2 linked regions of the Caenorhabditis elegans genome follow. The protein of the gene in region 1 purifies or fractionates together with the protein of each later gene. This does not show direct contact. Each region holds a gene or a part of one and is shown on either strand. Other genes may lie near its edges.

Evidence for each region.
Region 2: the proteins of F35B3.7 (region 1) and Y53F4B.9 fractionate together in Caenorhabditis elegans (co-fractionation; one large-scale study listed by BioGRID). This does not show direct contact.

What each region holds. Positions count from the first base shown.
Region 1 is NC_003284.9:17,039,995-17,044,895, reverse strand, and holds the start of F35B3.7 (Leucine-rich repeat-containing protein), read left to right. Parts: upstream 1-1,817; 5' UTR 1,818-1,964; coding exon 1,965-2,005; intron 2,006-3,128; coding exon 3,129-3,197; intron 3,198-3,343; coding exon 3,344-3,547; intron 3,548-3,596; coding exon 3,597-3,708; intron 3,709-4,541; coding exon 4,542-4,728; intron 4,729-4,901. Other genes in the region: C30G4.2 (BTB domain-containing protein), read left to right, coding at 1-272, 321-468, 645-781.
Region 2 is NC_003280.10:15,004,315-15,012,252, reverse strand, and holds Y53F4B.9 (AAA+ ATPase domain-containing protein), read left to right. Parts: upstream 1-1,836; 5' UTR 1,837-1,841; coding exon 1,842-1,942; intron 1,943-1,987; coding exon 1,988-2,186; intron 2,187-2,365; coding exon 2,366-2,614; intron 2,615-2,960; coding exon 2,961-3,074; intron 3,075-3,127; coding exon 3,128-4,222; intron 4,223-4,422; coding exon 4,423-5,160; intron 5,161-5,875; coding exon 5,876-6,310; intron 6,311-6,653; coding exon 6,654-7,229; 3' UTR 7,230-7,389; downstream 7,390-7,938. Other genes in the region: Y53F4B.11 (uncharacterized protein), read right to left, coding at 1,072-1,299, 1,363-1,461.

The sequences.
Region 1 (4,901 bases):
TCATGAACAGAAAGTTCAATCTCAAACACCATCAGTTTGACAATGATAGGCTTTATCTCCCGACTTTCATGAAATGGGATGATGTTGTGGACTTGACATATGAAGATGAATCAGTAAGATGTTGTGCGAAAGTGGTGGGATTTCGCCATTTAGAGAATGTTGAGCGAAGTTTCGGAGATTGCAGTTATCATGGAACAAGTGACCTGCGGCATGTTACAACTGTCAACTTGACTATTACAGTTGGAAGATACAAGATTTTAGTGAACAAAGATGTAAGATTCACTGAATTATAATTTTTAATGTAAAGTTTGGTTTTTCAGTACCTGATGTCAATGTCAGGATTCTTCCGGACAATTTTAGAGAATGCGGATAAGAACTCCAGGCATGACGATCTCGTGCTAACAGAGTCGAGAGATGAGGCTTTTGTGACTATGATTGATATATGTCATCATAAGTTCTGGTGTAATTGTGAGTTGAAACAGTGAAGATATTTTTCAGCACAGCAAAAATAATTTTTTAGGAAAACTATAATACAAGAAAAAGCAACATAACCTTTTTACGTTATTTTAATCAATTTCGAACTTCAAATTATAGTTTTTCTTTTCAAACCGTTATCTCCATTTTGCCACATGTTCAACTTTCAGACCAACTTAAAGAGGACCTTTTTGAAGTTGCAAAGTTGTACGAGTTTCCATTTGTCATCAACTTCTACAACCAATTTTTCAACTCGGACCGTGCATTTAATGCTGACGACGAGTTGTCTTTAGAAAACACTATGTGATGCAGTTTGACTGTGATTAAAAATTTGGCAACTTTTTAAACTGTATACTCATTTGCTTTGGGATCTCAGCAATAATTTGATATGTATATATTTTTTCTATAAGTCTCTTTATGTTCATGTTTATTTTACAGCAATATCTAGATTTTTTTAAACTCACTTTGAAGATAACTCAGAATAATTTTAATTTATATGGAAAACTTGATCGCGCTAGAATTTATTTCGGCATTTGTCTCAAGCTTCTTGTCCAAGTTTGGCTAAAAATATTAACTTTAGTAAGGTTTGGTTTGGGATGCGTTCAAGTTCTATCCAAGTTTGGCTCACACTTAACAATTGTAAGTTGTGTTTTTTTAAATTCGGGTCAAAGTAAGGCAAGAGTTTTGGATCAAATTTGGATTATACTTTGGCACAACGCAAATTTTGCCAAAGTCCCTTATTATTTGATACTATACAGGCGAATAATTTATTCGTAAATACAAATAAATGTAAAGAGAAAGTCACAAGTTTTTTAAGCTATTCAACTAATCAGTGAACGACAAATTTGTATTTGAATTCTATTAGTTTGAGAAAGTTTTAAACTATTTCAAAGTGGTATGTATGTATACACGTACATTTGTAAATTTCAAATAATATATCACGCAAAGTTTCTAAACAAATACGAATTATTCATCGAAATGTTGAGAAAATAACGATTTGGGAACCAAACCATTAACCCGGTAGTTTGAGGGAATAGATATGAGATGAAAGCTTAGAGCTTGGCACCACCGGACCTACCTCAGCCATTTATTTTCCAAACCACACTCTGAGCAGTCTCCACCCTCAAGTCTGTCTTCATTTTACTCATCACATAAATTGGAAAGTGACTCGAGTTTTTGGAGAGGAAAAGAGAGAAGAAACTTGGATGAGTGGAGGAAAATGAAGCGAAAAAAAAACACGTGTCATCATTGTGCACAGCACAAGGGGAAAGACCAAAGCGAAGATAATGAGATCAAAAGAGAAATGAGAGGTTTTTCCTCCCGGCGGGAGAGGGGAGAAGCCGCAGAAGAGCGGTCCGCCTGGTTACATGAAGAGAGAAAGAGTGAAGAAGACAGCTGTCCGGACTGCTTGACGTAGACTTTTTGACTGGAAGGTGGAGTTTCGGACTGTGCGAGTAGAGATACGCATTGCGTTGTTCCGACTTCCAGCCATGCAGACGCTGCGCAATCCCTTGTCCATTTTTAGAGCGCGGTAAGTTTTGCTCAAAAAATTACACAGGTGTTTGGCAACGTGAAATATTGAAACGTTGTGTTGTTCTAGTATATTCCAACCCCCACTAATTTTAATTACGTTTTTTCGATGAAATAGGTAAGAATTCTACTACTCAATTTTTATATTCATACAACACCTTTTGTATCAACTTACACGGTAATTTCATTGTACTCAAACTTTTTAAAATCAAGTTTCGACCATTGCCTTGATCTGAAAATACTTAGTTACTTACTTAGACAATCCGTTCTTCAGGAATTCGTGGTATTCCTGCGCATCACAGCAAGCCATTCTTTTTGGTCCTTGGCTATAATGGACCAAATTGGTTTTTTCATCAATATTTTGTTAGAAATTGTGTTCATCGCGAAACTTAATGTGTTTCATCAAGTGAATATGAGACAGATAACGTTTTTATTTATTCTCTAAATACAATTGTGTGAGCTTTCTTAGAATTTGAGAAACGGTTTTTTTTCTCAAAGTTTCTATATTTGAGTTATATAATTTTTCTTGACAGTAATTGTCACATAAAACTCAATCGATACAAAAATAGTGTATTAAAATATTCAATATAACTTTTTCCACCAAATTGTTATTTTTTCCACGAGTTGTTTTCTACAAAACTGATATTGAAGAAAAATAGGTTTTCAATATTTACCAATATATCAAGCTTTACAAAATTGTTTGGTCGAATGAAAAATGTACTGTTCACTTTTTCAACTCAATTAGGTTATAATCAAAGCTTTAGTCTGCTGATTTCACTCTGTTTAGCTTCAAATGTAGCCTGATCCTTTCGTACTTTTTTTAAAATGAAACTGAACACTTTTCCGCAAGTACAATGTTATACTGACACATAGCTTTTCAAAAATCACTTTTTCTCGTTCTGTTTCCCTTTTAGTTTTGAGTTCAATGACAAATTCTTCTCATCTTTCGCATTGAACAGATAGCTAGTGTTACTTGTTGATGCTCTCATCTAGTTTACACAACCTCTCCCACATCAGAATGTTATTGGGTATTGAACAAGTTCCAGGAATAGGGGTGGGGAAATATTTTTCGAGAAAAAACACTAATTTCGTACTTCCAAATCATTTTTCAACACAAATTGCAGATCACGAAGTCGGGAACGAAGCACTCCTCAACGAGCTGTCACTCAATCAGAAAAGTCGGACAAATCTCGGTCAGTTGTGTTGTGTTTTTTTTTCTTTCAGCTCATGCGTCATGGGTGTGATATTTTGTTTTTTTTGGAGCATTTCAGTTTTTAAAAATCTAATTTTTTGTTGTTTTTCAGCTTCCCAAGCATCAATAATTATTTATTATTTTCAGAAACAAAAATGAGTCCACCAACGAAAAAAAGAGCATCACAGTGAGCAGTAGTGATGTTAGCAGCAAAACCCAGCTCACAAAGCCCAACAACGAACCAAAATCCAAAGCCACCCCTGACAAAGCCACAACTCAAAAATTGTTCATGAAACGTGACAAGAATGCAACAGAATGTCTGGCAGAGACCAAGATTGAGAGGAAATCAATGTAAGTCACAATGATCCTCAGACGATTGGAGGTCTTTCTCAACTTCCAGATGTCGAGAAAAAACGCACAAGAGCATTGTGCTTCCGCAGCCACGGTTTTACACTTGTGAACGAATTCAGAAGACTGTTAAGCTGCCGGACAAGAGTAAAAGTAGTTCAGCGGTAAGTATTTATGATTTTTTGGGATAGGATAGAAAAAGAATAACAAATATTTAAAAACAAACCCCCCAAGTCAAAAATTTCACTGAGATAAGTTCTGAGAACTTCTTAAAAACTATGCTTTTGAATCCTGGTAATAAAAAAATCACAGGTAATTTTCAAAAATTGAATAAAGAAAACAACCTAATTTTCGTCGGTCTTTTTGACTTTGTAATAGAATCTCTTGAAAATTTGTCAAAGCAATTTTTGTGGTGGTTCCATAATCAATCTCAATATGCAAAGTTTTTAAAATTACGACGGGTGAAGAAATCTACAATTTTCTACCAAGAAATATAATTTTAAACTGTATTCTACTATCTAAACAACTTTAAATACGTAAAAACTGCGCAAAAACCGTATTTCGAGCCATCTATCAAATTCCAACTACCAAAAAAAAAATCACTTAACATATTCCAGATCAACACTTTTCAGTTTAGAGTTCAGAACTGAACATTGATTTTAAACACAGAATTGCAAATTTAAAAAATTCCTCTGCAAAATTTTGTGTTTTTGTCTCTGAACCATGCTCCCAAACAGTACACCCAAGATTATAGAAAAATATTCTAATGATTTGTTTGAAATTGGAATCAAAAGTGCAATCCCACAAATCCCTGTGCACAATCATAATCCCCCACACCAGCGGTTGTCCAGCAGTTGAATCCAGCCGTCTGTTATAAACATGTGTTGTTGACCCAAATTGAGTCATAAATTTTATGACCCTTATTGTTGAACCCAGACACCAAGGAACCCCCCCCCCTCATGTTTCTTGGAATTCGATTCATTTGAATTTTCTTCAGATGAGCATCAAGAAATCAACGCACTGGTGTTACGTTGCCGCGCCAAAGCACATCACTCTACAGCCGGGCCCGTCGAGTGTCGGCGACGGATTTTCGACTGAAGCCATGATCGAGGAGATCTTCGCCCCGCTACGAGACACCATAAAAGAGGGCATCGAAGAGGCACGACATTTATCTTCATCTCCGGGTAGGTATTTCGACTTTTATTACTGTTTTACAACAAATTGATGGCCAGAAGATGTTTTATTTATTACTTACGGGAAAATGTTCGATTTATTGAAATTTATTGCCAAATAATACATGCTAGGAGCATTGGAATTGAATTCAAAACTTTCAAGCTTGTTTCTTCTACATGTCAAC
Region 2 (7,938 bases), on another chromosome or scaffold:
CGAATTCAAAATTTCCGGCAAATCGGCAATTTTTCGAAAATTAAAATTTCCAGCAAATCGGCAATTTTCTGAAAATGAAAATTTCCGGCAAATCTGCAATTTTCTGAAAATGAAAATTTCCGGCAACCCGGCAAATGTCCGAATTTTTTCCTAAAATGAAAATTCCGGCAAATCGGCAAACCGGCAGATTGCCCGAGTTCAAAATTTCCGGCAAATCTGCAATTTTCTGAAAATGAAAATTTCCGGCAACCCGGCAAATGTCCGAATTTTTTCCTAAATAGAAAATTCCGGCAAATCGGCAAACCGGCAGATTGCCCGAGTTCAAAATTTCCGGCAAATCTGCAATTTTCTGAAAATGAAAATTTCCGGCAACCCGGCAAATGTCCGAATTTTTTCCTAAAATGAAAATTCCGGCAAATCGGCAAACCGGCAGATTGCCCGAGTTCAAAATTTCCGGCAAATCTGCAAATTTCTGAAAATGAAAATTTCCGGCAACCCGGCAAATGCCCGAATTTTTTCCTAAAATGAAAATTTCCGGCAAATCGGCAATTTTTTGAAAATGAAAATTTCCAGCAAATGGGCAATTTTCTGAAAATGAAAATTTCCGGCAACCCGGCAAATGTCCGAATTTTTTCCTAAAATGAAAAATTTCGGCAAATCGCCAAACCGGCAGATTGCCCGAATTCAAAATTTCCGGCAAATCGGCAATGTTTCGAAAATTAAAATTTCCAGCAAATCGGAAATTTTCTGAAAATGAAAATTTTCGGCAAATCTGCAATTTTCCTAAAATGAAAATTCCGGCAAATCGGCAAACCGGCAGATTGCCCGAGTTCAAAATTTCCGGCAAATCTGCAATTTTCTGAAAATGAAAATTTCCGGCAAACCGGCAATTTGTCGATTTGCCGAATTTGCCGGAAAACGACAATTGCCTCCCATCCCTGGTTCAATGCCCATGACAGAGACAAATTTTCAGGCAGAATTGTTGGGGCACTGCATTTCATCCAAAAATTCAAAAAAAAAATGCGCGTCAAATCTGGTGTATTTTGACTCTGCCCAACAAAGTGTGCTTACATCTTTCATGTTCTTGTAGACCGTATTCGCGTCCTTGGCCTTCAGCTCCTCATAAAACTCGGGATCCGTCCCATCGACCGGCTTATCGAGCCCCAACTCCTTCACAATGTCGTGAAGCGGAAAATCGGCGGCATCCGGGACACCCGGCGGCGGAGCAGCTCGCTTAGCGATTTCAGCGTCCAGAAGGTTCTGCTCCTCGTCGGACAATGGTGGAATCACCGAGTACTTCTGCAAAAAAAGAGCAATTCAAAATTCCCGGCTTGCAAAGTGCTCTCCAATTCTAATTCTCACCCGTGCCTTGATGTCCTGCTCGATTTGCTCGGCGCGGAGCAAGATGGCTTCCTTGTCCAAGTGAAGATCGCCGAGTTGCTCACAAATTTCGGTTTCCATGATAAAGGAAATGATTGATTTTTTGTGGTTCTTTTTTCTAGTTTAATCAAAATCGAACATTCTCGAAGTTTATACACGTTTTCCTGTCATTTGGGGTTTCACGCAAAAAAACCCTGATTTGAATTGCCGCGTTTTTAACGAGAGGTGCGCGCAAGCGCGCTCTAGTGAGACAGCGCGAAATGTTGATTTTCATTTTCTTTTCGGAGGGAAAATTTTCAGTTTTCGTGGTTTTTGGAATATTCCATGAAATCAGTTGTTCTCGATTTTTCTTCAATTTTCACAGATTTTATGTTAAAAATCGAATTATTCGCTTAATTTCTCACATTTTCCCATGAAAAATCATTGAATTTCCGTCATTTATCGATTTTTTTGCAGTAAAAATGGAAGAGAATCCTACTTTGGATGAAAACTCACTTCCATCCACATCGGCACCACCAGAGCCAATTCCAGAGCATAAGGAACATACGGAAGAACCAAAAAGGTTGGTTTTTACCCTCAATTCTCGATAAAATCTCTCAATTTCCAGACCTGCTCGCCGTCGTTCCTCGCTTGGCATCAAAATCATGAGCTCATTCATTAGTTCCGGCTCCGAAGACGTGATGAGCCCCGTTCAAAAGCGTGTACAGCCGAAACGAATGGCTCAGCTGAAAATCGCGCCGCTACCGTTGGTTCAGCCGCCGCCACCACCGAGAACTCGTGCTTGTCAGCGGCCGATTCGATATTCGGTGAGGATTTGAGCTGCGAAAGCTGAAAATTTCCAGATTTTTGCCGGAAAAGTGCCTCAAAAATGAAGATTTTGGCTGAAAATCAATTATTTTGATCGATTTTTGTATTTCAAAGGCTCATGAAATTCAAAAACTGATAAATGGGTCTCACAACGTTTTTTCAACGATTCTAATTTCAGTTCGACGTTGGAGAACGTGTCGCCGTGAAGCCATGCCTCAAATCCGCCACCAAAACGCCGATTCGAGTTCGTCCAGCTGACGGTGCGATGATCCCGCCACGAAAATCGCTGACCCAGCAGGCCGCTCAACGTGTGATGCAGAAATATCGTAGAAGCATGTCGAAAACGCCGCAAAAGCGTGGAACATCGGGAAAACTGAAGTTCAACAAGATATGCTCGATTCGAGTGATAACGCCGAGGCCCAATTATGTTAGTAGGCTGCGGAATAAGCTGAAAAATCGATTTTTTGCCGAAAAATCGCTGAAAGTCCCCGAAATTTTAAGAGAAAACACGTTTTTAGCGCGGTTTTTAACTGAAAAATGCCAGATTTTCGTTGAAAAAACCAAGTTTTCTCTCGGAAATCCGTGAATTTTCCAGTTTTTGGCGTTTTTAGTATTTTTAAAGCCAAAAATAAGTCTGAAATTACTGAAAATGGGCTTATTTTCACAAAAAGTACACTAATTTGACACTTTTTCACCCGAAAAACTTCACATTTTCATCAAAATCTGCAACTTTTCCCCGTGTACTCCTCTCGGACAATCTCTTTTTTTTGCAGAATCCAAACGATTTGGTGATGCCACACTCGGACGATGAGGAGGACACGATGAATCCGAACAGAGAACGCCTCAGCACAGTAAAACTCCGATTGACACCTACGTCACAGGCAAAGGTAAAAAATGGGTGGAGTCTAATATTGATTTTTTCTTCAATTTTTTCTTTCAGCTCGAGCAAATGCAATCGGAGGACGTTTTCCAATTCAACGCGGAAATGGTGTTCGGCGACGGAGGAGGAGGCTCTGCACCATCCACGTCATCAATTGCATCCTACTCGGCTGAATCTGTGACGGAGACCGCACTTGAGTCGGTGAACACGAAATCGGTGGAATCGAAAACGCGACCATCATCACGCCGGAAATCTCTCATCCTCGGCGCAGCGTCACCTCTGAAGTCGCCAGCGAAAATTGAGAAGCCGAGATTGGAGGAGCCAGAGCAAAAATCCAAGCGATCCCGTAGATCGCTTCGTCTGAATCCGGATGCCATAGAGCCTCCGGTGAAGTCGTGTGATTTGCTGGAAGACGAACGCGAGGAAAGCAGCTCGAAAAAACGAGAAAACCACGATCCCGGCTATGATCTGGAGCCCCTGGCGAAACGAGGACCTCTTAAATCGGAAATTCACAGCTTTTTCGCGCCGAGATCTGCCAAGAAACCTGTGGTGTCTCTGGATGGGGAAGCCGACTCCGTGGAAGTCAACTGTGTGGAAATGGCGGTGGAATCCGAGAAGAAACAACGCAAAAATCGCAGATATTCAGCGTACTTTGGATCTGCGGAAAAGGAGGTGGAATCTATTTCCAAACCACTTGAAGCTGAGAAGAAGAGATCGCGAAGATCCTCTGCATATTCCGGAAACTCCGTGGAATCGAAATCTCTGGAATCGAAATCTCTGGATAAGGAGGTGGAGCCTAAGGTCCGAACAGCTCGGAAATCAATGGCTGCAAAATCCGTGGAACCAAAAACCCTGGAAAAAGATGCCGAGCCATCTCGGAAATCTGAGTCTCCGGAAAAAACCGTGGAGCCTCCTGCAAAATCATCGGAAGAGATCAAAGAGGAGAAGAAGAAACTCAAAATCCGTAGATCTTCTGCGTACTTCAGAGTTGCGAAGCCCCTGCCCACTTCTGACGACGCAGCGCCGGAAACCGAGGAAGAAATTGTGGTTATTTCGAGTCCTGAGGCGCCGGAAAATGGGAAATTGGCGACGATTTTTTCGAAATCAACTCCAGTAGTGGGAAATAAGAAGATGCTAGAGCTGAAAAAGGCGGAGGTACACAATTTTTTAGATTTTTGAGAGAAAAATTAAGAAAATTCAATTATTTATTTCTAGAAAATCAAAAAATCGTCGAAAAATGATTTTTTTTGAAAGCTTTTTTTGGAAACTAACACTGGTTTTCTATTAAAAAAATTCGAAAAAGCCTAATTTTTAGCCGAAAAAGCCTTCTTTTTCTTAAAAACCCAATTTTCCAGACCAAATCAACTCCACCAACAAGCCAAAAGCCCAGCAGCTCCGGCCCAGTTTTCTCGATTTTCTCTCCAAAACCTGTGAAGCCTGCAGTCACTCCAAAAGTGACAACTCTATCGGATAGCCCAATGGGATCAGTTTCAGGCCCGCCGAGCTCCAGCTTCTCCAAAAAGAGCAACGGAGTCCGTCGAAAAGAGCATTGGGGAGATTTGTGCGCTGAAACCTATCAGTTTTTCGAGAAAATCCCAATTTTGCCAGCGATTTTCGAGGAATTCGCAGAAATCGACGATGGGAAGATCTTCAAATCTAGAAGTTTCGACCCAAAAATTCTAGATTCAACTGGGATTGTCTCTGAGCTTCAGGAGGATCTCCTTGAGCTCCATAAGCCCTACGAGCGAAGCCGGGAACTCACAATGGCTCAAAATCCGCCGGATTCATCGCTGGAAAAGCTGGAAGTGCCCCAAAATAGCTGCACAACAACAATATATCCGTCGACGATGGATTCACTGGTAGAAGGAGCCGAAGAAGAGCCAACGGTGCGGGGATGGCTCCGAAGATGGAAGCGTCGAGTGCGGAAAGCCATGGAGCGAGAGATTGCGGAGCAGCAGGGGAAGAAGAAAAAGAGGAAGCGACGGGATGAGGATCATGAATCCGATGAGGATTATGAAGTGGAGCATCAGGATGATGATCTGGAGAATCCTCTGGTGTTGATTGGACCGTCTGGAGTTGGAAAGACCGCCTTGGTACGGGATGAAGCTTGGAGATTTTCAGAAAAAATTGGAATTTTTGGAAAAAAATCAGAAACTTTTGAATAAAAAAGCTCTAATTCAGGGTTGCTCAGAAATCGGAAATTTTTGGCAATTTCGGCAATTGCCGGTTTTATATATTTTCGGCAATTTCTGCAATTGCCTGTTTTGAAAACATTCGGCAATTGCCGGTTTTGGAAATTTTTGACGAATTCGGCAATTTTTGCAATTGCCGGTTTCCAAAATTTCCAGCAAATTCGGTAATTGCCGGTTTTGGAAATTTTTGGCGAATTCGGCAATTTCTGTAATTGCCAGTTTTGAAAATTTCCAGCAAATTCGGCAATTGCCGGTTTTGGAAATTTTTGGCGAATTCGGCAATTTCTGTAATTGCCAGTTTTGAAAATTTCCAGCAAATTCGGCAATTGCCGGTTTTGGAAATTTTTGGCGAATTCGGCAATTTCTGCAACTGCCAGTTTTGAAAATTTTCGGAAATCGGCAAATTCTGCAATTGCCGGTTTTGGAAATTTCCGGCAATTCCTGCAATTGCCGGTTTCCAAAACTTCCGGCAATTACGGCACTCAAAAATGGTAAACTTCTTGTGTTTTTTCAACGAAAATTAATGTTAAAAAATCGTCTTTTTTTAAACGAAAACTCTAACATTTTCTGCAAGAAAAAAATCTGGTTTTCTCCAAAAATTTAAAATTTTTTGCAGTTCCGTGCTCTCGCCAAGCAAGAAAACATGCGTATAATCTCAATTGGCCCGGAAACCGGCAGAAGTGGCTCAGAGATCAAGAGAAACCTTCAGGAGGCTCTCCGTTCTCATCGTGTGGATCAGCAGCCGCATCCGACTCGTACCATCCCGTTTTACAAGACAATTCCGCGTGAAACTCCAGCACCACCACCACAACTGGCGCCAAAGGATTTTGTGCAGAGTCTAGTGGTCTTTGAGCATGTCGATGTGTTCTTTGAGACTCTCGATCGTCATGGGATCCTTGGACTTCTGGAAGCTGTGAATGAAGCTGCCGTGCCGGTTGTGTTCACTTGTGAGCAAGAATGGCCACGACGATGGGGACAAGTTGAGCTACGGAGGCCCCATTTGGAGATTTGCTTGAATAGAAATCAATGCAGAGTACAGAAATATGTACAGGTACTTCTAGAAATTTCAGAAACATTTTTAAGATCAAAATGATCAAAAATCGAATTTTCTACTAATTTCGGCTTAAAATGAAGCGGAAAAGACGCTAAAAAAATTTCCAGAAATTTCCAAAAAAACACATTTCCAGCGAAATTGTTCCTCTAAACCTCGGTTTTGGTGAAAAATTCCCGATTTTTTTTGGAATTTTGAGCTTAACTACTGAAAACTGGTTTCCAAAATTAATTTTTTTCGAATTTATAATATTTTTTATCAGATTGATTTCCAAAAAGGTGGAAAAAAAATTTAGCGAAAAATTTAAATTTTAAAAAAATTATTAAAATTCTTTTAATTTCAGAATCTCGTCTACTCGTGCCGTAACGTGATTATCGACGACGCGACGATCAAGCAGCTCTCCGAGTCCGTGAATCACGATCTGAGTGCTCTCCTCCATCAAGCTCATCTTTTCTCGCTGGCTCCACACCGCCCATTCCCACTTACAACTCGCCATCTCGTTTCAACCGGATTCTCCGAGCACTGGGAAAAGCCACGTTGCAGCTTAACCAAGACACAGGAACGAATGGAGGAGCTCTTCGAGCAGTACGCGGATGTTCTCCCAGACGGAGCAGTGGCTCTGAGCCGCTCACCGGGAGTGGAGAAACTATGGGATACGGATCGCCAGAAGCTCGCGGAATCTCAGGCTGGATATTCGGAAGGTGTCCGGAACGCTTACGAGGCTCTCAATGGACGATTTTCGCGGCGAGACCTGGTTCAAGATGTGCTCCCGATGCTCGTGCCAATGGATCGTGTCGAACGTCAGAAACGGGTCCGATCACGGCGACACTTGCATCGATTCAAGCAGTACTCGAAGGACTTCCCGATGGACGGAGATCAACTGATAAATGTGGTTGGCGGATGGAGCATGAGCCTTTGAAGCCAAGCATTTCTATTATTTTTCTGTCAAATAATTTATTTTTTTCCCATTAATTTATTTTTTCTGTATAATAGTTTATTTATTTATTTATTTTATTTTCAATTCCCCCAATACCGCAAAAATTAACATCGTTGTGAATGAAAATGGGGCAGCTTTAAATTTTAATTCCGTTAAAATTTGACACTCGACTTTAAAGGTACACACTATTTTTCTGAATGGGTCTCACCACGATCACAGCCACACGTTTTCTTCTTATAAGGTCCAGAAGAGACGCAGACATATTGGGGCCCAGTGGGCACGTATTTCGGGCTGACATTGTGTGGATTTACGGAGCGTGAATATGTGGGGGTGCAAGCGCGCTCCACTGACAATTGAAAACGCCCCGCCCCTGAACCGCGGGTCTCGTTAGGTATTTGCCGGCAATATTGTAAATTCAAACGTTTCCCATCGTTTTTTTGGGAATTTTTATGCCGAATTCGATATTTTTAAAACTTTATAAAAATTTAATAGAAACTCTATTCGCTATTCATGAATTTTTAAAACATTATTTCGGAATAATTTTCAGACTCTGATTGAAAATCACTGGTTTTTTCGAAATTCTACGGTTTTTCTCAAAAATTTGATTGTCGCTTCGAGACCCATACAGATTTACGGAGTTCTATAGAACTATTTTGGCTTGTCAATTACTATGGGGTGAAAGCCAGGGGTG